Linked DNA regions of Cricetulus griseus. The protein of the gene in region 1 binds, or shares a complex with, the protein of each later gene. Links are inferred from orthologs where the notes say so. Each region holds a gene or a part of one and is shown on either strand. Other genes may lie near its edges.

What was found.
Region 2: the proteins of Micall1 (region 1) and Ehd1 are in contact, whole or in part, in an NMR structure (PDB 2KSP), measured with the Homo sapiens proteins. The link is inferred for Cricetulus griseus from reciprocal best matches to the Homo sapiens genes MICALL1 and EHD1. Residues at the interface, in NP_203744.1 of Homo sapiens: Lys422, Tyr424, Asn425, Pro426, Phe427, Glu428, Glu429; in NP_001269373.1 of Homo sapiens: Gly464, Ala467, Lys468, Met471, Asn478, Leu481, Gly482, Trp485, Lys486, Lys492, Asp493, Gly494.

Annotation. Positions count from the first base shown.
Region 1 is NC_048595.1:376,244,516-376,254,841, forward strand, and holds part of Micall1 (MICAL-like protein 1), read left to right. Parts: intron 1-132; coding exon 133-497; intron 498-1,694; coding exon 1,695-2,101; intron 2,102-5,272; coding exon 5,273-5,407; intron 5,408-5,853; coding exon 5,854-5,980; intron 5,981-6,111; coding exon 6,112-6,202; intron 6,203-6,310; coding exon 6,311-6,384; intron 6,385-8,817; coding exon 8,818-8,932; intron 8,933-9,111; coding exon 9,112-9,158; intron 9,159-10,299; coding exon 10,300-10,326. UniProt on the Homo sapiens protein: Lipid-binding protein with higher affinity for phosphatidic acid, a lipid enriched in recycling endosome membranes. On endosome membranes, acts as a downstream effector of Rab proteins recruiting cytosolic proteins to regulate membrane tubulation.
Region 2 is NC_048596.1:53,053,180-53,063,505, reverse strand, and holds the end of Ehd1 (EH domain-containing protein 1), read left to right. Parts: intron 1-1,804; coding exon 1,805-2,217; intron 2,218-4,618; coding exon 4,619-4,783; intron 4,784-5,195; coding exon 5,196-5,720; 3' UTR 5,721-7,313; downstream 7,314-10,326. UniProt on the Homo sapiens protein: ATP- and membrane-binding protein that controls membrane reorganization/tubulation upon ATP hydrolysis. In vitro causes vesiculation of endocytic membranes. Acts in early endocytic membrane fusion and membrane trafficking of recycling endosomes.

The DNA.
Region 1 (10,326 bases):
CACCCATGTGTGTCTGGCCTGACCTTGGGGCTAGGCTTGGGAGAGCAGAGGGGGCAGTGTCACCCTCCTCTGGGACAGACTGAAACTTCCTAGAGGGCAGAAGGCTGACCCCTTGCCTTGGCCTCCCTGTAGGATGCCAGCACCAAGGAAGGACCCCCCATGGATCACACTGGTGCAGACAGAGCCAAAGAAGAAGCCAGCCCCACTGCCCCCCAGCAACAGTCCTGGGCCACTAAGCAGACATGTGGAGAATGGAGGCCTGGAAGAAAGGACCCAGAAGAGCCCAGTATCTGAGCCAGATCCCAAGCCCTACAACCCCTTTGAGGAGGAAGAGGAGGAAGAGGAGTCAGCCCCAGCAGTACCAGGCCCTGTCCCAGCCCCAGCCCCACCAGAGTCTACGCCTAAGCCCCTACACCCCTGGTATGGCATCACCCCCACCAGCAGCCCCAAGACAAAGAAGCGCCCTGCCCCGAGAGCACCTAGTGCTTCCCCACTTGGTGAGTGCTAGGTCTGAGGGTGCAGGGGGCTTTGCTATGTTTTGTACAATGTGGGTGTATGATTTCCCATTTCATCCTACAGCAGGCTGGGAGAGGGTGGCATTATTGCCACTTCATAGGGGAGGCACAGTGCTGAAGCCGCAGAGGCAGGATTTGAACCCCAGCTTTTAACATTTCCTGTTATGCCAATTCAGTGTGGAAGTCAGGGAGGGCGTGGCACAGCCCTCCATTGGGCTTCTGAAAGGCATGAGGCAGGGTTCACTTGAACCCTGCCTCCGTGTGTCTTGTCTCTCTAGCCACTGAGCAGCTTGGCTCCTACCTGGCTGTGTAGGGCTTGGTCCTTCCCTCATCTGGCCTTTGTCTCATGTGTGAGATGGGGGTCAGTTCCAGGTCCCTTTGCCCCAGCATGCTGTTTTGGTCCAACCTCAGATGTGTCTTGAACTCTTGGTCCCCTTCCCACTCCTAGGGGTGTGGCTGAAAGCTCTGTGGGACCAAGCACCTGCCAGGAACAGTTAGAGGCAAATGCTCTGCTATCTGTGCCCTGGGTCCTCTTGCTGGATGAGCTTGGTGTAATGGGGGCATGAGCTCAAGTTGGACCATGCTGTGTCTAAAGATGACCCTAGCTAGGGAGAATCCTTTGCTGAATCTGACTTCATCCAGGAAGTACAATGATGGCCGTGGAGGCATAGTCCATGTCATCTGCAGAAGGAGAAAGCCGTGCCTGGCAGTGCCTGGGCCAGCACTGGCTGTTGCAGGTGCTGCCCCCACTCTCTGCTGTTGCCTTCTTTCCAGTTTCTGTGCCAGAGACGGAGGCCAGCCTCCTTTCCCTGCCTTCCCTGTACTTGCGTCTTCATCTGCCCCAGCAGCTTGCCTTTGAGTGGGCTTGGGTGTGAGAGGAACATGGGGCACATGGGAGGGGGGAGTAGAAGGCAGCTGTCTTTCTGGGTAGGAAGTTAGGGCCATAAATGTGCCACAAGGTGGCACACTAGAGCATCAGGGGTACAAGATGGGGTCGGATGGCTGAGTGCCTTTGTGATGTGGGATCTGGAATAGGATTGGTGTTCTCTGACCTCTTGCCTATCCGGATGGGGAAGAGCTTGGTGTCCAGGGCTACCCCAGCTCTGGGAGCAAGGTGTGTCGGGGGAGGACAGAAGTCCCATCCACCGCTTGAATGTTTCTGCTGTTCTGCTCCAACAGTTCTTCATGCCTCCCGCCTGTCACACTCAGAGCCTCCTTCAGCCACACCATCGCCAGCCCTTAGTGTGGAGAGCCTGTCCTCTGAGAGCTCCAGTCACACTGCCAATGCAGAGCCCTTGGAGCCGCCTGCTGTACCCAAGAGCTCCTCAGACCCTGCCGTGCACATGCCTGGTACCCCTGGCACATCTGGGAACTCTGTCACTCCTTCGGCCAATTCTTCCCTATCACCTTCTGGGGAACAGGGGCAGCCTAGTGGTGAACAAATGCCACAGGCCAGGACCAGAGGCAGCCCAAGTACTCAGGCCACCAAGCCCTGCAGTGGTGCTACCCCCACCCCCTTCCTATTGGCTGGAGACCGGAGCCCTGCCCCTTCCCTGGGGAGCTCATCCCCACAGCTACAGATCAAGGTGAGTGCTCCATGGATGTCAGAAGCAGCCTTTTAGCTAGTGGATGTGGGGCTTGTCTTGGGGCACAAATGAGTGGACTTACCCATCATTACCTGTGTGAGACTCTGATCTGTGTATCTGTCCATCCCTCTGTCTGTTTGCTCACCAGCCTGTTTACTGACAGTGGGGTCTGTCTACACCTCTGCCCGACACCCACACCTTGTCTATCCCATCACCTTCTGGCCTCACTGATGCCAGGCATTGGGCATGTTCATTAAGACCCTGTGTTTGCCCTCTAGGGACACCCAGTCTACATGGGGAGACAGGCATATGATTGTTCCAAACTGTGATGGGTGTGAAACACGGTAGGAAAGGTGACTCCTTCACCAGAGACTGTAGTCTTGCCAAGAAGTCGTGAAGCAACTGGCCCTTGCTGACTATGTCCTGTGTTGGGGGGACACCTGGATTCCTGAGGTCACACAGGCCTCGTGGTCTCTCTTCTTGACTGGCCCGTTGTCTGGCCAGCAGGTTCTGAAATGCCCCATCAGGCTTAGGGGCTCAGGACGCACACCTTCCTGGGTTCCTCTTTTATGAGTTGTGAGGGAATGCTTATGAAGGACAGATCAGGCCAACCCTAGACCCTTGCTAGGCTCTGTCTTCTCTCAGAGGTAAAGTGGGCACGAGAAAGGTCTAGCTGGGCCACTGTCTGGCCATTTGGCTTTTGACGGGTTCTGTAGTTCCAGGTTCACTTGTTTCTTAGACTGACCCTCCCTGGGCCACAACTCCTGTTGTAGGTGTGGTACTTCCAGCTCTGCTACCTGTTGTGTGATGTTGAGAAGGCCTGCTTTTGACAGTAAGCTACTGATTAGTGCCAAGTTTCTAGAGTGTTCTGAAGAACCTCTGGGTATCTCATTTTAAATTATGTGTATCTAGGTATGGGTTTGTGCATGCGAGCATAGTGCCTATGGTAGCAGCCAGAGGGTGTCAGACCTCCTAGAGTTGGAGTTAACGGGTTCTGTGGTCACCTGATATGGGACCCTGACTCTGGACTTCTGGAAGAACAGTATGTGCTCTTAACCACTAAGCCAGGTTTTTACCGCTCTCTTTTCCGCTGTACCCTTGGGGCAGACAGGACTTTTCCTGTCTCCCTCTTTTGTCCTCTTTCTCTCTCTGTCTTGTGTCCCCCGCCATCACCACCTTGCCTCGGTCATCCTTTCCTGCCATGGAATCTGCCAAGGTTCCCCACGTGTATTATCATAACACAAGCCAGCTTCATTGCCCAGCCACAGTGCCCAGCAATACAAAAGAGGGCTAGAATATCCTTGTCACCATCCTGAAAAATGACAAAGCCAAAGCACATCAATGAGAAAAATACAACTTTTTAGAAGGAATCTTGTTTTTGGTATTACACATACACATACACAAAACAAACAAAAAAACCACTAAGCCATGTCTGCAGCCTGCCCAGCTCCACTTTTGTAATGAAAGCATGGGTTGTACAGGACACACATTTAAGAATGTTCTGTGGGCTAGGCGGTGGTGGCACATGCCTTTAATCCCAGCACTCTGGAGGCAGAGGCAGGTGGATCTCTATGAGTTCACCTGGTCTACAAGAGCTAGTTCCAGGACAGCCTCCAAAGCCACAGAGAAACACTGTCTCAAACAAAACAAAAAAAGAATGTTCTGTGGCTGAAAAAGCATGAAGGACTCAGAGGCCATGGGCTTTACTGGACTCCCTCTCTGTGTTGATACAGAGGGAGAGGGCAGAATCCCAGGGTCTTCCTAAGGGACCCAATCCCACTCTCACCTCTGGGATTAGGAGAGAATGTCAGAGGCAGTTGGAGCAGGAAACAGGTTGTGGGTGACCACACAGTCTCTGCCTCAGGCCCACTGTGTCTCTTACCTCATGAAACCAAATGCTTGTCCTACCATTTCCAGCTCTGGCTTAGGTACTTGTTCTGACTGGTTAAGGGCATGGCCTCCCCCACACACTAGGTGCAAGGAAGCTGAGGCCTCAGTTGCAAGCCCTGCTTCCCTTAAGCTGAAGGGCACTATTGGGAAGGCAGGGCCCTGGTCTCCAAGGGGAGGGGTCTCTGGAGAAAAAGAAAGATGCAGAGCCAGGCTCTAAATGTGTCTGTGGTAGGCAGGAGAGAGTAGGGAGGGGAGAATCGCCTCTCATCTATTAGGTAGAGGGAGGGTAGGAGTCCTACTGTTGGATTTCCTGGCTGGGTGACCCTAGGTGGGGGCACTGTGCCTCTCTGAGCCTTCCAGTCTCCACTGGAGAAAGCTGGCTGTGAAGACTGTAACTGTGGTTGAGGGCGGGGCCTTTAACCTCATTGCCTGACAAAGGAGCTGGGTGCTTAACCTCTCGGTACTGAGCTCAGCTGTAAGTGGGCATGCAGTAAGCGAGGCTTCTGAGCACGTGTGGCACCAGGGCTGGGGCCCAAGGCTTTGCACTCTTAAGACAAGCACTCTTTTTGTTTTTTTTTAAACTTTATTTAGTTTTTTTTTTTTTTTGAACAATGTCATACACATATAAAATGCATTCTGATCTGGTGGTGGCGCACACTTTTAATCCCAGCACTCAGGAAGCACAGGCAGGCGGATCTCTGTGAGTTCAAGGACAACCTGGTCTACAAGAGCTAATTCCAGGACAGCCTCCAAAGCTACAGAGAAGCCCTGCCTTGAAAAACCAAAAAAAAAAAAGAAAAAAAAGAAAAAAAAAGCATTCTGATTATTTTAACTCCCGACCTTCTAAGCTCAACCTTTAACCCACCCCCTTTCCTACATTTTTTTTTTTTTTAATTGAGACAAGGTCTCACTTTATAACCCTGGCTGTCCTGCAAATCACTGTGTAGACCAGGCTGGCTTCACACTCACAGTGATCTATCTGTCCTTGCCTCTGCCTCCCGAGTGCTGGAATTACTGGGGTGCGCTCCCACACTGGACTCATACAAAGACTTTTTACTCCGGCATGCTCTGGAGCAGAAAGTGTGTATGGTGTGAGAACTGACACTGGGAAGCACTCTGGAAATGGAACCGTTTGCTGAATGCGTGTGGAGAGATGGAACTTGGGGGAGTCTGTTCTTGCCTGGGTCCTCATCCTCCAGTTCCTTGGGTCCTGGCCTGCTTTCATGTTCCTGTATGATCAGACTTCTCAGACTTAACCATCCGTCATGTCTCTCCCTTCAGTCTTCCTGCAAGGAGAACCCTTTCAACAGGAAGCCGTCTCCCTCTGCATCTCCAACCGTAAGGAAGGCCACCAAAGGAGCCAAGCCCATGAGGCCACCTGCCCCTGGACATGGCTTTCCACTCATCAAACGCAAGGTACCACAAGACACTCTGAGCCCCAGCTGACCCAGCACCCTCCCCTCAGCAGCCTTAGTCATCTGGTGGCTCTGCTGGAAGGTTGAACTTATTAGCCTAGGTATCCTATGTAGCCAGGGGCAATGGTGCTAGGAGAAACTTATGCTTCTCAGAAGGTTTCCCCAATGTGCTCTGTAACCTAGCTCACTGTCTCATAAGGAACTCCTGAGTGACAGCAAAGGGAAAGGCTTCCTTCTGGAGTAGGAACTTGGACATCTCATTGGGAGTCTGTCAGACCCTTGGTCATGCCTGTCCCCTTCTCTGGCCCCTTCCTATGCTGCTTTCTTGTCATGCTACCTTGTGGGACAGGACCTGGGTTCCTAGAGCCTGCAGTGGCCAAAGGACCCTGTGAATTGGAGGGGAGGGCCACTTCTCTTTAGGTGACTAGAGTATTTGTTGTTGGGCAGGTCCAGGCTGACCAGTATATCCCTGAGGAGGATATCTATGGTGAGATGGACACTATTGAGCGCCAGCTGGATGCCCTGGAACACCGTGGTGTTTTGCTGGAGGAGAAGCTGCGTGGAGGAGCAAATGGTGCGGGAACTGCAGAGAGGAGCTGGCTGAGGGCTATGGGTTGATGGGAGGCCCTCAGCTTGGGGGGGGGGAGGCCCTCAGATGGGGCCCTCAGCTGCGAGCTCTGGCCTCAGTGGGGATCTGGCTTCCAGAGGGAAGTGAGGACAACATGCTGGTGGACTGGTTCAAGCTTATCCACGAGAAACACCTATTAGTGCGGCGAGAGTCAGAGCTCATCTATGTGTGAGTCCAGGCTGCCCTGGGAACTTTCACCCTTTGCCATGACAGCACAGGGCGGGGGGCGGGCGTACTTCACCGAAGTGTTTACTTCCTCTTCGTCCCACCCTTTAGTGTCAAGCAGCAGAACCTGGAGCAGCGCCAGGCTGATGTGGAGTTTGAACTTCGGTGCCTTCTCAACAAGCCAGGTGAGCCATCTTAAAAAATTAAAAATAAACCAGGAGGTGGTGGTACACACCTTTAATCCCAGCACTAGTAAGGCAGAGGCAGGTGGATCTCTGAGTTTGAGGCCAGCCTGGTCTATAGAGTTAGTTCTAGGACAGCCAGGATAGGAATACGTAGAGAAACCCTGTCTTGAAAAACAAAATAAAACTCTGAAGGTCTGGGGAGGTGGCTTAGTCACTAAGTGCTTGTGCAAGTACGAGGACCCAAGCTTGACTCTTAGAACCCACTATTTGTGGGATCCAGGCATAATGGGAACTTCAATTGGGTCAAGGGATGAGTTGGGGTATGGAGTAGAAGAACGACTGACCTTCCTTGTTTGTGGCTATGACACCAACTGCCCTTTCCTCTGTGTGTGTGTGTGTGTGTGTGTGTGTGTGTGTGTGTATGTGTGATGCACTGATCTATAGCTGCTAGTAGAGACCACAGAGCTATGGATGGATCCAGGGTCTGACCTCTTTCCTCTGTTGTGACATCATGCCAGGATTGGGTGATGGGCCGCCATTGCCATTTCACTGTAGGGAAAGCTGTAGCCACGCCTTCTTAGGGGCTGGCTACAGGTGTGCCTGACCAGGCTTGTGAGGGCGTGGTCAGAGTGACGTAGTGGGACTGCGTTTTCGGTTTCGGTTTCGGTTTCTCTTTGCTTCTTGCTGTACAGACCTCTACCACGCCGGCTGGCTAGGTTGCTCTGTAAGAAAGGCTTTTCCCTATTAAATACCCTTGTATTTCTACCTGACTCCGTATTGGTAATTTCCCACAATATTTCACAGCTTAGGTTAGAGAGAAATGTACCCAGAGGCCAGGGTTTCTTTATTTGTGTAAGAGCTGCTAGCTCTGACTTTGCCCTGTGCCTGTCCTCAACACCAGTCTCCCATCTCTCTGACTGGAATCTTGCCTCTCCATTGACTCGGGAACTTGGAAGTCTGGGGTGACCCCAAGTCACAGAATGTCCTAGGCCTCTTTTGCCAACTGTGAGTCACTTCCAACTCAGCAGGAGGCTGGGGGTATGGCCACCACTTAGGAGCCCAGTGTGACTAGAGTGGGTATGAAACCATCAGCCTCAAGGCTGTGGCTGTCATCTGTCCCCTTTAGCTTCTCCCTGATGCTGCTTTTGAAGATGAAACTGGTTTATGTGACCCTGAGGGAGTTGGGTCCATAGATACCAAGAAAGACTACCATGTAGGAGGTCAGACTCCCTGGGTTCAATTCGGTCTTACTTTCTCTGGGCATTGCTGGCCAAAGGCTTCGTTTTCCAAAGCTTCAGTTTTCCTACACGTAGATTAGGAGTGTAGCTTACCAGGATCTAGGTAGAAGAAAGGCAGAGCAGGATTTGAACTTGGGTGGTGACTGTGAAGCCATACTCTGTCCCCAGAACTGGGCTGGGGCTTCCCAACCCTCAGTTTTGGCAAGATGAGGTCATAGGGGAATGGGGCAGTTCCTGATAGCTTCAAGATGTTTATTTCCAGATGTGTAGCACATAAGGGCACCAGGCGTGGGTACCCAGTCCTGGATCCTGCAGATGGTGGGAGAAACCAGACATAGGTGGGGCCCTGAGGGTGGTCCTGTGAGGCTGCCCTGGGCCTGGAAAAGGAAAGAGGCTGATGGGTGGCAAGTGTTAGTGACATCAAGGCTCCTCCTGGCTGAGCTCCTGTCCCCAGTCCTCTCCTGTATGGCCCTGGGAACATGTTCCTCTGTGAGACTTGGACCATACTGCTTCTGCAGGTGGGCCTCTGGGTGTTTCTTGTCATTCCCTCCCCATTCTTGTCTATTTAAACCAGTCCAATATAGCTTCCCACAAGAAACCACCAACAACCAGGCAGTGGTGGTACATACCTTTAATCCCAGCACTTGGTAGACAGAGGCAGGTGGATCTCTGAGTTTGAGGCTAGCCTGGTCTACAGAGTGAGTTCCAGGACAGCCAGAACTGAACTGTTACACAGAGAAACCCTGGCTTGAAAAACCAAAAAGAACAAGTCACCAACAAGTGTCTGTTGTCAGAAGCCTTTGAGGAGTGCTGTCCCTGCCTGGTGTCTTGAACAGTATGTTTGGTATACAGAAAGCCCTTGAGAATTGCCAGCCTTGCACAGTGTCCTTGAATGGTGTGTTTGGTGGGCACATTGGCCCTGCATGGTGTCCTTGAACAGTGTTTGGTGGGCAGGAGGCCCTTGAGAATTTCTGGCTCTACAGTGTATCGCTTGAACGGTTTTTGGTGGATAGCCAAGTGTTCTTGGTTTTCTCCTAGAACTATCTTCATCTCTCTAAGAGCTTGTGAGTGGCACTCTGGGCCCTCCTCTCAACCCATATGGATGGCCTACAGTCTTCCCAGGAACTCAGGTGGTGTGTCTGCTATTGTGAAGACAAGGTTCCCCATCACTCACTCTGGCTTTCTCCTTTGGCAGAAAAGGACTGGACAGAGGAGGATCGGGCCAGAGAGAAGGTGCTGCTGCAGGAATTCATGACCCTTATCGACCAGCGCAATGCCATTGTCAACTGCCTGGATGAAGACCGGCAGAGGTGCCATGCCTGGGACCCCATGGGTGGAGCCACTTCCTGGCAGAGCCTGGGAGAAAGTTAGCCCTACCCTCACTGCCAGCTTTCCCTCACACTTGCCCAGTCCTGTGGGGCCTAGAGGCAGGAAGGGACTCACAAATGACCTGGTGCTGTGGGCACTCAGCTTGTCTTTTCCACCCCAGGGAAGAGGAGGAAGACAAGATGTTGGAAGCTATGATCAGGAAGAAAGGTGAGGCTCACCCTGTGGAGGGGCCTGTGTTTGCAACCTGGAAATGGAGGTTGAGCAGGTTCCGTCCTGTAGGGATGACTGGTTGTGATGTGAAGTCCCAGGCTCTATTTTGCTGGGAAGCCAAATGAAATGAGGGAGGCAGTCAGCAGTGTAGTTGTGGCTCAGGTTGGGTGGGAAGCCAGGGGATTCCCTTTTGTCTATAGAAGGACTGTGGTCTACCAGGGAGCCTTGGCCCAGCGTGGTTTTGCCCAGAGCTCTGCAGGTTAGCTTAGGAGCACGGGAACCTCAAGCTTGTTCAGGGTTAGAGTGTCCAGAGTGGCTAAGGTTGCTGTACCAAGAGAGGGGCTCGGGGATTGACCTTGATTCCACCTGTGGCTCACTGTGTGGCCTTCTGGGTACATCTTAGATGAGGCTGGAGCCAGACTGGCTTCTGGTCCCTGCTTGGAGACAAGTTGGGTGGCTGAGCCAGTTCTGTCAGCCCTCACTTCACTGCTGTTGTGATGGAACCTCTCTCCCAAGTGGGCCAAGGGTTATGGAGCTGACTGTGTAGAGCACCAGCCTGGGGTTAGACACCTCCAAGTGCATGGGTAGTGTTACCATCCTGGGTTAGGCACCTACAGTGCGTGGGTGGCACTGCTTCTTTTCAGAGACACATGTTTTCTTTGTGAGAGTTCGAGGTTTGGGCAGGTGGTTTCTGAGGTGTTCCCTAGTCCTGGCACTCAGTATTTCTGCTGTAGTCTATAGAGCTACGTATTTCAGTACAGGTGATCTGAGCTATTACATCTCACAGTGGTTCTCAACCTTCTTAATGCTGCAGGCTCTTAATACAGTTCCTAGTGTTTTGGTGACTCCAACCATAAAATTATTTTGCTGCTATTTCATAACTAATTTTGCTACTGTTATGAATCATAAGTATCTGATATACCCCAGATTGAGCACTCCTGCCTCAGAGGTTCCAGATTGTTCTCACCGATGTGTGGATCTCAGGGAGAAAAGGGAGACTTGGTACATTGACATGACTTGGTTCATGAATGGACTGGAGCCTTGATGGACACATACCTGCTCAGTGACACTGGCCACTGCTCCATCTGGCCCCCAGTGCTCCCCTCCCTTCCTGACTGAGTACCTTTGTTCTTTGCAGAGTTCCAAAGAGAGGCTGAGTCTGAGG
Region 2 (10,326 bases), on another chromosome or scaffold:
ACCTGGAACCTGTGCATATTAGGTGAGTGACTGAGACTGAACCCAGGGCCAAGGTGAGTTTCAACGGAGAGGTCAGGCTGTTCCTGAGGCTTCCCAGCTCTGCTTAGTGTTCTAAAAGATGAGGAATCCTCACTTCTGGGAGCAGTGGAAAAAATGTTTGAAGAGCATAATTGAGATGAAAGTTAAAGTCCAGAAGCCACTGACCTAAGTTTATAGAAAATGGCAGGCTCTGTATGTGTCAGACATGCAGCTTTCTTTTTGAATCCTAGGCTGTGACTCCAGGACATAATCACCACATCTGCATCACAGTCCTCAGAAAACCACAAAAGGCTCATGCACTTTTTCACACCCTTTTTTAATTTTTAAACTTTATTTGGTGTGCATGAACACATGCCACAGTGCAGTTGTGGAGGCAAAGCAGACAGCTTTCTGGAGCTGCTCCTCTTCCTTCCTCTGTGTGTCCCAGGATCATGCACCGCAAGTGCTTTTACCCATTGAACCATCTTGTTGGCCCTAAATCATACTGTTTTTGGTTGTTTTGTTTGAAACAGTTGGATATCTCTTAGGCTGACCTCAAATTTGTTCTGTAGCTAAGGGTCTTTCTGCTTCTGCCTCCCAAGGTTTCCAGCATGCAGTAACCACCATGCTTGGCTAATAGTACTGTTATTAATGGAGAAATTTCAGTTATGTCTCTGTCATAGATGACTCAGGTCACTTTTTTTTTTTTTTCCAGACAGAGTTTCTTTGTGTAGTCCTGGCTGTCCTGGAACTCACTCTGTAGACCAGACTGGCCTCAAACTGAGATTTGCCTACTTCTGCCTCCCAAGTGCTGGGATTAAAGGTGTACGCCACCACTGTTGGGCCTCAGATCACTTTAATTGGGTTGGGAAACAGCACAGAATACGAGTTAGGACTGGAGTCTACCCAAGTCAGCAACTTGATTTAGAGAAGCATTTAAGACCCACAGAAAAAGGAAGTGGTCTATGGTACTTTTTAGGGCTTGTTGGAAAACAGAGGTCAGTAGACCTTCTGGGAGTGTTGGGAATTGGTATTGTCAGCTATGTAGACCTTTTAGTTTCTGTTGCAACAATTGAACTCAACTATTACAGATAAAAATTGGCATAGACATGTAAATGAATACCTTTGTTTCAATAAAACTTTATTCATTCATACAAGCAAGTGATGGGCCAGTTTTAGTCCCTGAGCTTGCCGGCCCCTATTGTAAAAAATAACTGAGGCTTGCACAAGGATCTGGTGTTTATAGACACAGGTTAGATAGCAGTTACAGGTGTGAGTGCTATTGCTTATTGTCACTACTGTTCAAGGCACACAACTGGCAAGTCTATCTCTGCATTATTACTGTGCTGAGCTATCATATAATCTTAGTGGCTTGCTTTGCCTGAGAAACTGTACGTGTCATATGGGTAAAAGTACCCCTTGAGGCTGGGCATTGGTGGCGCATGCCTTTAATCCCAGCACTTGGGAGGCAGAGGCAGGCAGATCTCTGTGAGTTCGAGGCCAGTCTGGTCTACAGAACAAGTACCAGGATAGGCTCCAAAGCTACACAGAGAAACCCTGTCTCGAAAGACCAAACAAAAAAAAGAAAGAAAAACAAAAAACAAAAAAAAAACTACCCCTTGAGGCAGGAGAGACCAACGAGTCTGCCTTTGGGCTGCTGTACTGTTCAGTTCAGAGCATTTTAGGAATTTACAAAATAACCTCCAGCCTAGAAATTCCAGGCCACATCAGTGCTCAGAAGCACTAGGGAAGCCTTGGGGCCATGCTCAATCCTCTCCTCCCTCAGGTTATGACTTTGCGGCTGTCCTGGAGTGGTTTGCTGAGCGCGTGGACCGCATCATCCTGCTCTTTGACGCCCACAAGCTGGACATCTCAGACGAGTTCTCAGAAGTTATCAAGGCCCTCAAGAACCACGAGGACAAGATCCGTGTGGTGCTAAACAAGGCCGACCAGATTGAGACCCAGCAGCTGATGAGAGTGTACGGAGCTCTCATGTGGTCTCTGGGGAAGATTATCAACACCCCCGAGGTAGTCCGGGTCTACATTGGCTCCTTCTGGTCACACCCATTGCTCATCCCTGACAACCGCAAGCTCTTCGAGGCAGAGGAGCAGGATCTCTTCAAAGACATCCAGTCTCTACCCAGAAATGCTGCCCTTAGGAAGCTCAATGACCTGATCAAGCGGGCCAGGCTGGCCAAGGTAGTCCCTGTGGCTGGGTGAGGGGATTGGCTGCTGCCAGATAGGCCCAGGGGCTCTGGGACTGGCACTTGGGGCCCAGTTTTTACCAAACATATATCACTTAACCTGTGTGTGAAAACCACTGCCTTGTGTACCCACTGTGCAGCCTGCTCTTGACTAAGGTCTTTAACCTGTGTCATCTCAGCCTGTTCTCTCTGAGTCTTATGCCCCACCTAGATCAGAAAATGCAAAGAACATGCATTCGCCTTAGAAATGTCAAACAGGAAGTTACTACAGAACAAAGGAGGCCACCAGGAAGTGGAATGTGCTGGCCTGGTTGGCTTCAACAAACCCCTTGGGTGGGTGTGTGTGTGTGTGTGTGTGTGTGTGTGTGTGTGTGTGTGTGTGTGTACTAGTGTGCTCAGCTTGGCACTGAACAGTATGGACTCACAGGGAGTGACACACACAGCACCATTCAAGCCTTCGTGGGAGAACAATGTACATATGAAGCAGAAACATTGGTGATTTGGTGTTGCTGGTTAAGGTTCTGTCTGAGAGGAGGACTGGGGAGTCATCATGGTGGGATAAAGGGACCTGGGAGGCCTGCATGGGACTGGTGTGTAAGCTGGGACAAGAAGTAGCTAGAAAAAAAGATGGGTGCCAATCTGTGGCCCAAATAGTGCTGGATGCTACAGTCCAGACCCCTGGTGGCTGCTTTCTGCACAGACAATATAAATACCCTTTCCCATCGGTGGGAATGTGGGCCACATCCAGGTGCAGCACCACCTTCTGAGGTCCTTAAAGCCCTGGAACCTTAATGGCAGCTAAGCCTATGTGAGAGCCCAAAATGGCCTGAGCTAGGGAGTGGAGATCAGTGCCACCTCTGGGCTTTAGGGTATCCGAGTTTCTGCATCATGGGTTGCCTAGATAAGTCACTGGGGGGGCTGTTCAATGATGGCTCAGGTGACCCTTTGAATAGGAAGGCTTGACATGGAGTGGGTGGTGCGGTAGTGACCCTGTCCAAACACTGTTAACAGGGTTCCCATTGTCAGACTAGTCTGGAGGCTGAGGCAGGAATATACCTTGAACACTTGGCCTGAACAATTGTCTCAAAACACAAAAGTGGGTTTCTGCCTGGCCCCTCCCTTGAAAGGAGTTGACTCAAGAGACCTGTCATGTGAGCCACCTAGTCTCCAGAGAGACATCTCAGAGGGCAGGGTGTTTACAGCTGACTGGGGCACATGGAGAAGTACCTGTGGCCATTGAGACAGTCACTTCAGGAGCCTTCCCAGCCATCCCTGTTCCATTGCTGTCTGCATACTAGATACCAGGCACGCACCTCTGCCTCAGGGCCAGTCATAAAATATTTGGGGGGTTCCCTGGCCAGGGCAACCTAGGCTGATGCTTTATCCTTCACTACTGCCAAGTATCTGCCATTGTCACTCAAGTACCCCGGCTGACAAGGTAGCAGGGTATGGCATTTCCCATCCTCTTTACAGGGTACAGGGGTGGGTTTTTTGTTTTTTTCCAGTATCTCCAAATGCCTGTGTATGTAAGGTCTCCTCATGAGCTGAGCCTAGCAGTTCTGAGAAAGGAACTAATAAGAACTCTCATGTGACTGCCCAGGCTCCTAAAGGAGCTACCAGGTAGTACACAACTCTTGAGGCTACAGTGTCCACAACTGGAAATCCTACCGTCTCCAGTGCTGTTCCACATGGTTCATATACCACTGCTTGCTTTTCCTGGAGTGAGAGTGACTCATTGGCTTGTGCAGGCAGAGCTGTGACTGGCTTTGGGTGACCTGCCTACCTTGGCTTTCTTGGGAAGGCCTTGACACCAGTCCCAGGACCCGGGAAGGGCTGCTCCTCTTGGATGGTTTTGGGCCATCCAGTTCCCTGGACTGGGTAGGTGCTGGGGGCAGTTGAGGAGAGCTTTCATTGAATTTTCTGGTTCTGAGTTGTCCGGGCCTATTCTGGTGACACCTGGCTTATTGCTCAAGTGGGATTGGGACTCCTGAGCACTGCACAGACGCATGCTGGGATGAGGCTTCCCCACCACTCAGCTCTTGGTGGCTGTCATGTGTGTTGTATTGTTGGGAAGGCAGTGCAGGGAGAACACAGGTAGAAAAATGGGCAGAACTGAATTGTAATTCTGTACAAGAGTGTCATCTGTCCTCTGTTTGAAGTGCCCTTTCCCCGCTTCCATTCCCATGGCATTGAGCCCTTGTCATACCCCTTGTCAGAATTGTGTGTCACTCTTAGGCCTTTGGGTTCTTGTGATAGTGGCTTCACCTTTTAGCTTGACTTTGACCTTTCTGCTTCCCTCTACCCAAGCAGTGAACTTTAGGCACTAGAGGCCTCGAAGACCCTGAGGGCAGTGTGCCAAGCAAGTCTCTGATGCCCACTGTTTCCTGTCCCTTCAGGTCCATGCCTACATCATCAGCTCCCTCAAGAAGGAGATGCCCAATGTCTTTGGGAAAGAGAGCAAGAAGAAAGAGCTGGTGAACAACCTGGGAGAGATCTACCAGAAAATCGAGCGGGAGCACCAGATTTCCCCCGGTGACTTCCCGAGCCTACGCAAGATGCAGGTACAGTCTCCAGACCAGATTCTGAGCGCTCTGTGTGGGGCTGAGGCAGGCCCAGGGTGCTGGGCAGTGGTTCTGGAGGGAACCACAAAAGGAAGCAGCTGGGTTAGTCACCAGTTCCCCACCCGAATCAGAGTTGACCTAGGTCGAGACACTGACACAAAAGAGGGGAATGTGGTGACTCAGCCTGGGGGTGCGGCATGGCTGTCGATGAATCTTCACTGCGGCCTGGCGAGGATGGGCACTGCTGTGACCTCATGAGCAGAGTGAGGAGCCCGGCCTGCAGCACTAGCTCAGCTGCCTGAGCTGCCAAGTGGGAGCTCTGCTCTCCCTACTTGGGCAGCCTGGCTGAGTCCACTGCGTCTGGAGTCGAGGAGGCTGCCCCACCAGGCTTTTCTTTCTCCTCCACTCACAGGAACTCCTGCAGACCCAGGACTTCAGCAAGTTCCAGGCCTTGAAGCCCAAGCTGCTAGATACAGTGGATGACATGCTGGCCAACGACATAGCCCGGCTGATGGTGATGGTGCGCCAAGAGGAGTCCCTGATGCCCTCACAAGCTGTGAAGGGTGGTGCTTTTGATGGCACCATGAATGGGCCCTTTGGGCATGGCTACGGCGAGGGGGCTGGCGAGGGCATCGATGATGTTGAGTGGGTGGTTGGCAAGGACAAGCCCACCTATGATGAGATCTTCTATACACTGTCTCCTGTCAATGGCAAGATCACTGGCGCTAATGCCAAGAAGGAGATGGTGAAGTCCAAGCTGCCCAACACGGTGCTGGGGAAGATCTGGAAGCTGGCTGATGTGGACAAGGATGGCCTGCTGGATGATGAGGAGTTTGCTCTGGCCAACCACCTTATCAAGGTCAAGTTAGAGGGTCATGAGCTACCCTCTGACCTTCCTCCACATCTCATCCCACCCTCCAAACGGAGGCATGAGTGACAGCCATGCCTGACATACCCCAGCCCCCAGGGCTGCTGGCACTTTCTACCCGCCAGCTCCTTGCCTGCCTATGTGGGCCTGGGACTGGAGGGGCAGAGAGGGGGAGGGAAAGGGTCACCATTTTTCAAGGTCCATAAAGACTGAGCGGTGTTTCCTCAGCTCTTGAATAGGAAAACCACCATCTTTCTTTTAAGGCTGTCCGGGGTTCAGTGGGAGGCATGGGTGATGCTTGGATGTGAACAGTGGGATTTTGTGCACAAGAACCATGATATTTTTAATATATAATGTTAGGGGCAGCCTTCTTTCTTGCCTCTTCCTCTGTCTGACAGCCCCACACTCAGCCTCTCCCTACCCCAGCCTTGCCTTCTGCCTTGCCCTGGCCAGGCAGCAACAGGGACTCTGGGGAACCCCTCTCACAACCTACCCTGGCACACTCTTGTGGCAGCTGCCTCAGGACTGTGCAGACAGGAGAGCCCCCGCCCCTGCCCCCAGCTCCCTCAGTTTGTTTTTAGACTGAGGTTTATTCATGGGGCAGTAGCTGGCTTTCTCCTAGTGCTTGAGTAAGCTGTTCCACATTTCTGCTGTGGTCTGGGGGGCATGCCCTCCTTTACTTCCACACCCTGTCTCTGACATCCCAGCCATCATAGCAGCCACAGGTAGAAGACCCAGCCACTGTTAACTTTTGTGGGGATTGGAGAGGTTAGAGACAGTGTCTTCCAGGAAAATACATAAGCTAGGTATTGTTCTGTGACACTTTATACTTGACCCAATTTTCCAGTAACTCCCACAACACTTGTTCAAAGCTGTGATTTTTGTTTCCCTTTCCTATACTCCAGCCTTGGATCGGTTCCACCTCACAGCCAGCATAGAGCAGACCCCTTGGGCTTGAGTTGCCTTCTGGCTGAGGGGAGGTCATCCCAACTCCTGCTCTGAGGGGTCTGAGGGGTCTGAAATGTACTCGCTTAAAGTCAACCTTCATGGCAGCTTCCTGGAGCCCCTGACTGCCTTGGGGTGGGCAGTGGGCCCTGTGACCCGGGGTGGTGTGCTGGTAAGAGGAAGCCTGTGGCCTGGTCTGGGTGTAGTGTCCAAGCAGCAGGATAGGGGAAAACCCAACCCCTTCCCTCACCCTCTCATTTCCTTCCTCCCCTCCTCCCCTGCTGAGCCAAGGAGGTCTGGGTGTTCTGAGATCCCCAGACTGAGCAATAAGAAGCCAGAGCTAGCAAGTGACCACTTTGGCCACCTCACTGCAGCCTCAGGGACCTGGACACGCCCTATGGCCAGTGGTTGGCTGTCAGGGTGGGCTTTACACTGAGGTGGTGGAGCAGCTGCAGCCTGCTCATCTGACACTGCCGGTGGGCTTCAGGGAGCTGCCTGCCATCACCCAGCCCTGCTCTGGGCCTTGCTGGGGCTGAGCTCCAGCCTGGCCTGTTAGCTCCTTGCCTCGGCCTTCCATCCCTGCTGTTGGCTGAGGGTAGGTGAGATGTCCTCACAGGTCCACTATGTAACGTCCAGCTAGCTCGGTCCTCACCTATGGGGAGAGTGGCTGAGTGAAGACTTTGTTCCTTACATTAAAGAAAGTTTAATTGTGCCAAGGCTTTTTGTGCTCCATTGTCTTTTCCCTGGCCCTGGAGCCTTTGCAAGGGTCCCCCAAGGAGCCCACGACCACCCACCTGCTGTGCAGGGTTGAAACTGGCAGGACTATCTGGAAACTGAACTTGATGGTGCACATTCATAGTCCCAGCACTTGGCATTTGGAGGGAGGACCAAGAGTTCAAGGTCATCTTGGACTATATGAGGGACTGCCAAAAAATCAAAACACCAACAGAGATTGACAGCAAGCAGAGTTTTATGTTGGGCCAGCTTCTGCCATCTCCACTCAAGAGTATGTTAGCCACAGACTGGTTAGTATGTTTAGGATTGGGAGGGATCTTCCAGGGCTCCTTAGCCACCTGACTCCTCACTTGCCCCAAGGCAGGTTTGGAGACAGCCCAGCCAGCTCTGAAGACAGACAAAGCAGACAAAATCCACAGTTCTGGGTGGGGTTGGTTACAGCCAGCTGATGTCACAGATAGGGGACCTGTTTATGACAAGAGAGGAAAGGATGACAAATTGGGAGTGACATGCCCGGAAGGGTGCAGATGGGAAGTAGGGCTGGGGAGAGACTCTCTAGGCAAGGTTAGGACAGAAGTAGGGACAAACAGGTGTTTATCTCTGAGCTAGAGCTGCCTCCAGGGTCCTGCTGCAGCTAAGGCAGGCCTGATAGTCCAGGCGCCATAGACTTGACACAAGGTAGCATGGTTTGCCTGAGTTCTGTGTTCTTCTATTTTCAGATTAAGGGCCCAGGACAGGGCAACACATGCAGCAATGGTAGCCAAGGGGATTCAAACTCAAGTCCACCAACTCTGGTCCTGTTCTTGAGGCAGTTCTCAGGGAAACAACTTTTAAAGCAAAGACTGTGTCTGGATTCCCAGCTCACCTCACCCTCAAGCCACTTCCCAGTCTCAAAAAGACTCAAAGCCGCCATTCCACCTGAGGTTTTAGAAGCTTGGGACCATCTGTCAGCTTTCAGAAATGCCCTGCGCTTGCTCAAGCTGTCAGCACCAAAGAAAACAGGTCCAAGCAGCTCCCTTGAATGTGGTAGGACCCAGCTTCACCCCAGCTGTGGGGCTCATGGTATTCTGTCCACTCAGCCCCATCCCTCTCAGGTGATTTCCCCCAAAGGATACCCAGATGGTGCCCACTGAACAAGAAGTTTGAGGGAGCCAGGTGGTGGCGGTGCCCACCTTTACTCAGGAGGCAGAGGTAGATAGATCTCTGTGAGTTCAAGGCCAGCCTGATCTACAGAGTGAGTTCCAGAACAGCCAGGACTGTTTCACAGAGAAACCTTGTCTCAAAAATAATAATAATAATTAATTTAAAAAAAAAAAGATTGAAGGGGGCTGGAGAGATGGCTCAGATGCCTGTTCTTCCAGAGGTCCTGAGTTCAATTCCCAGCAACATGGTGGCTCACAACCATCCGTTATGAGATCTGGTCCCCTCTTCTGGTGTGCAGATATACATGGATGCAGAATGTTGTATACATAATAAATAAATTCTTTCTTAAAAAAAGGCTGTCTTGAAAACACACACACACACACACACACACACACACACACACACACACACACACACACACACACACACACACACACACTCACACACCAAAAAACTTTCTTAAAAAAAAAAAAAAAAAGATTGAAGGAGAGCAAAAGCAGGCATCGCCTGACTGCTGCCCCTGAACTCAGGTAAAGTGTTTTGGTTCCACAACTTGAACTCCTTTGGGCCATGTGGGATTGAAGGAGAGATGTCCACCTGTAGGGCTGGCCCTTACCCCTTTGCTCCCTTGTCTCTTGTCACCTTGCTCCCTTGCCTCCTTTCTAGTTTCCTAGAAGCCAAAATCTATCTAGAAGCAAGTTCCACCCTGTTCCCAAGCCCTAGGATAAGAGGCCTTTAGGACTGTCTGTCATCCCTGCCTGTCATCTTAGTCTACAGCACCACACCAATCTGAGACCAAGGAGGCAGGGAACCACCTCTGTGCTGCCCATGCCAGCTCTGTAGTATAAGGAGGGTTCTTGCAGGACCATTCTCATGGCCAGTGGGCTAGTAAGAGGACAATGGGGACAGAGGGATGGAGAGAGGACTTGGCAATCTAGAGCACTGGTTGTTCAAGAGTCTCCGGGTCTGATTGCCAACACTCACATGGAGGCTCACAACCATCTATAACTTCAGTTGCAGCAGATCTAACACTGGCTTCTAAGAACACTTCTCGAATGTGGTACACATACATGCAGGCAAAACACCTATACACCTAAAATAATCTGCACATATGCTTTAAAGCTTGTATGTATAGCACTCATGAGACACTGGGTTTAATCCCCCAACACTGCAAATAAGTAAATAAATGAATCAGTTGCTAACTGTCAGCTTCAAACAGCAGAATTGACCAAGCAGCAGCATGTTTAAATTCTAGCTCTGTTACTTGCTGGAGCTGAGCCTGGTTTTTGCCTTCTAAGCCCATTCTTTGGGCTCCAAAGAAACCTGTGCTCAGCTTCCTCCCCTGAGCACCTTGGGAAGGGATACTCAGGGTTGTAGAGGATGTGGGGAACATGGTACCCCACCCAACACCCAGAATAAAACGGGACCCACCCTTCCCTGAAGCAGCTCAGACAGGGTGGCGCCCATGAGCTACAGGGGTGCAAGGTAAGGGGGCTCTGGCCTGGCTTCCTGTGCACCCAGAGAGAGGAGTAATTGCAAAACCACATGGGCTGCAGCTGAGCAGAGCGTGGGAGCCCCTGTGGTGAGCTGGAGCAGCACAGGGGAGGGTTTGAGAAGAAAAGCCAGGATGATGAAATCACCATATGTCCACCCATTTGGAACATTGGACATTTCACAGGAAATACCCGTAGTGTGGCCGGCAGGGAAGTGTTATGGGAGCTGACACAGGTTAAAATTTGAGGGGTCTCCACTGGCCATACAGAAACCTTCAAACAAGCCCTGAGCAGCAGAGGCAGGGCTATTGAGCTCCCCAAACCATAGCTATTCCTAGATAGAAATGTCAGACAGGCCA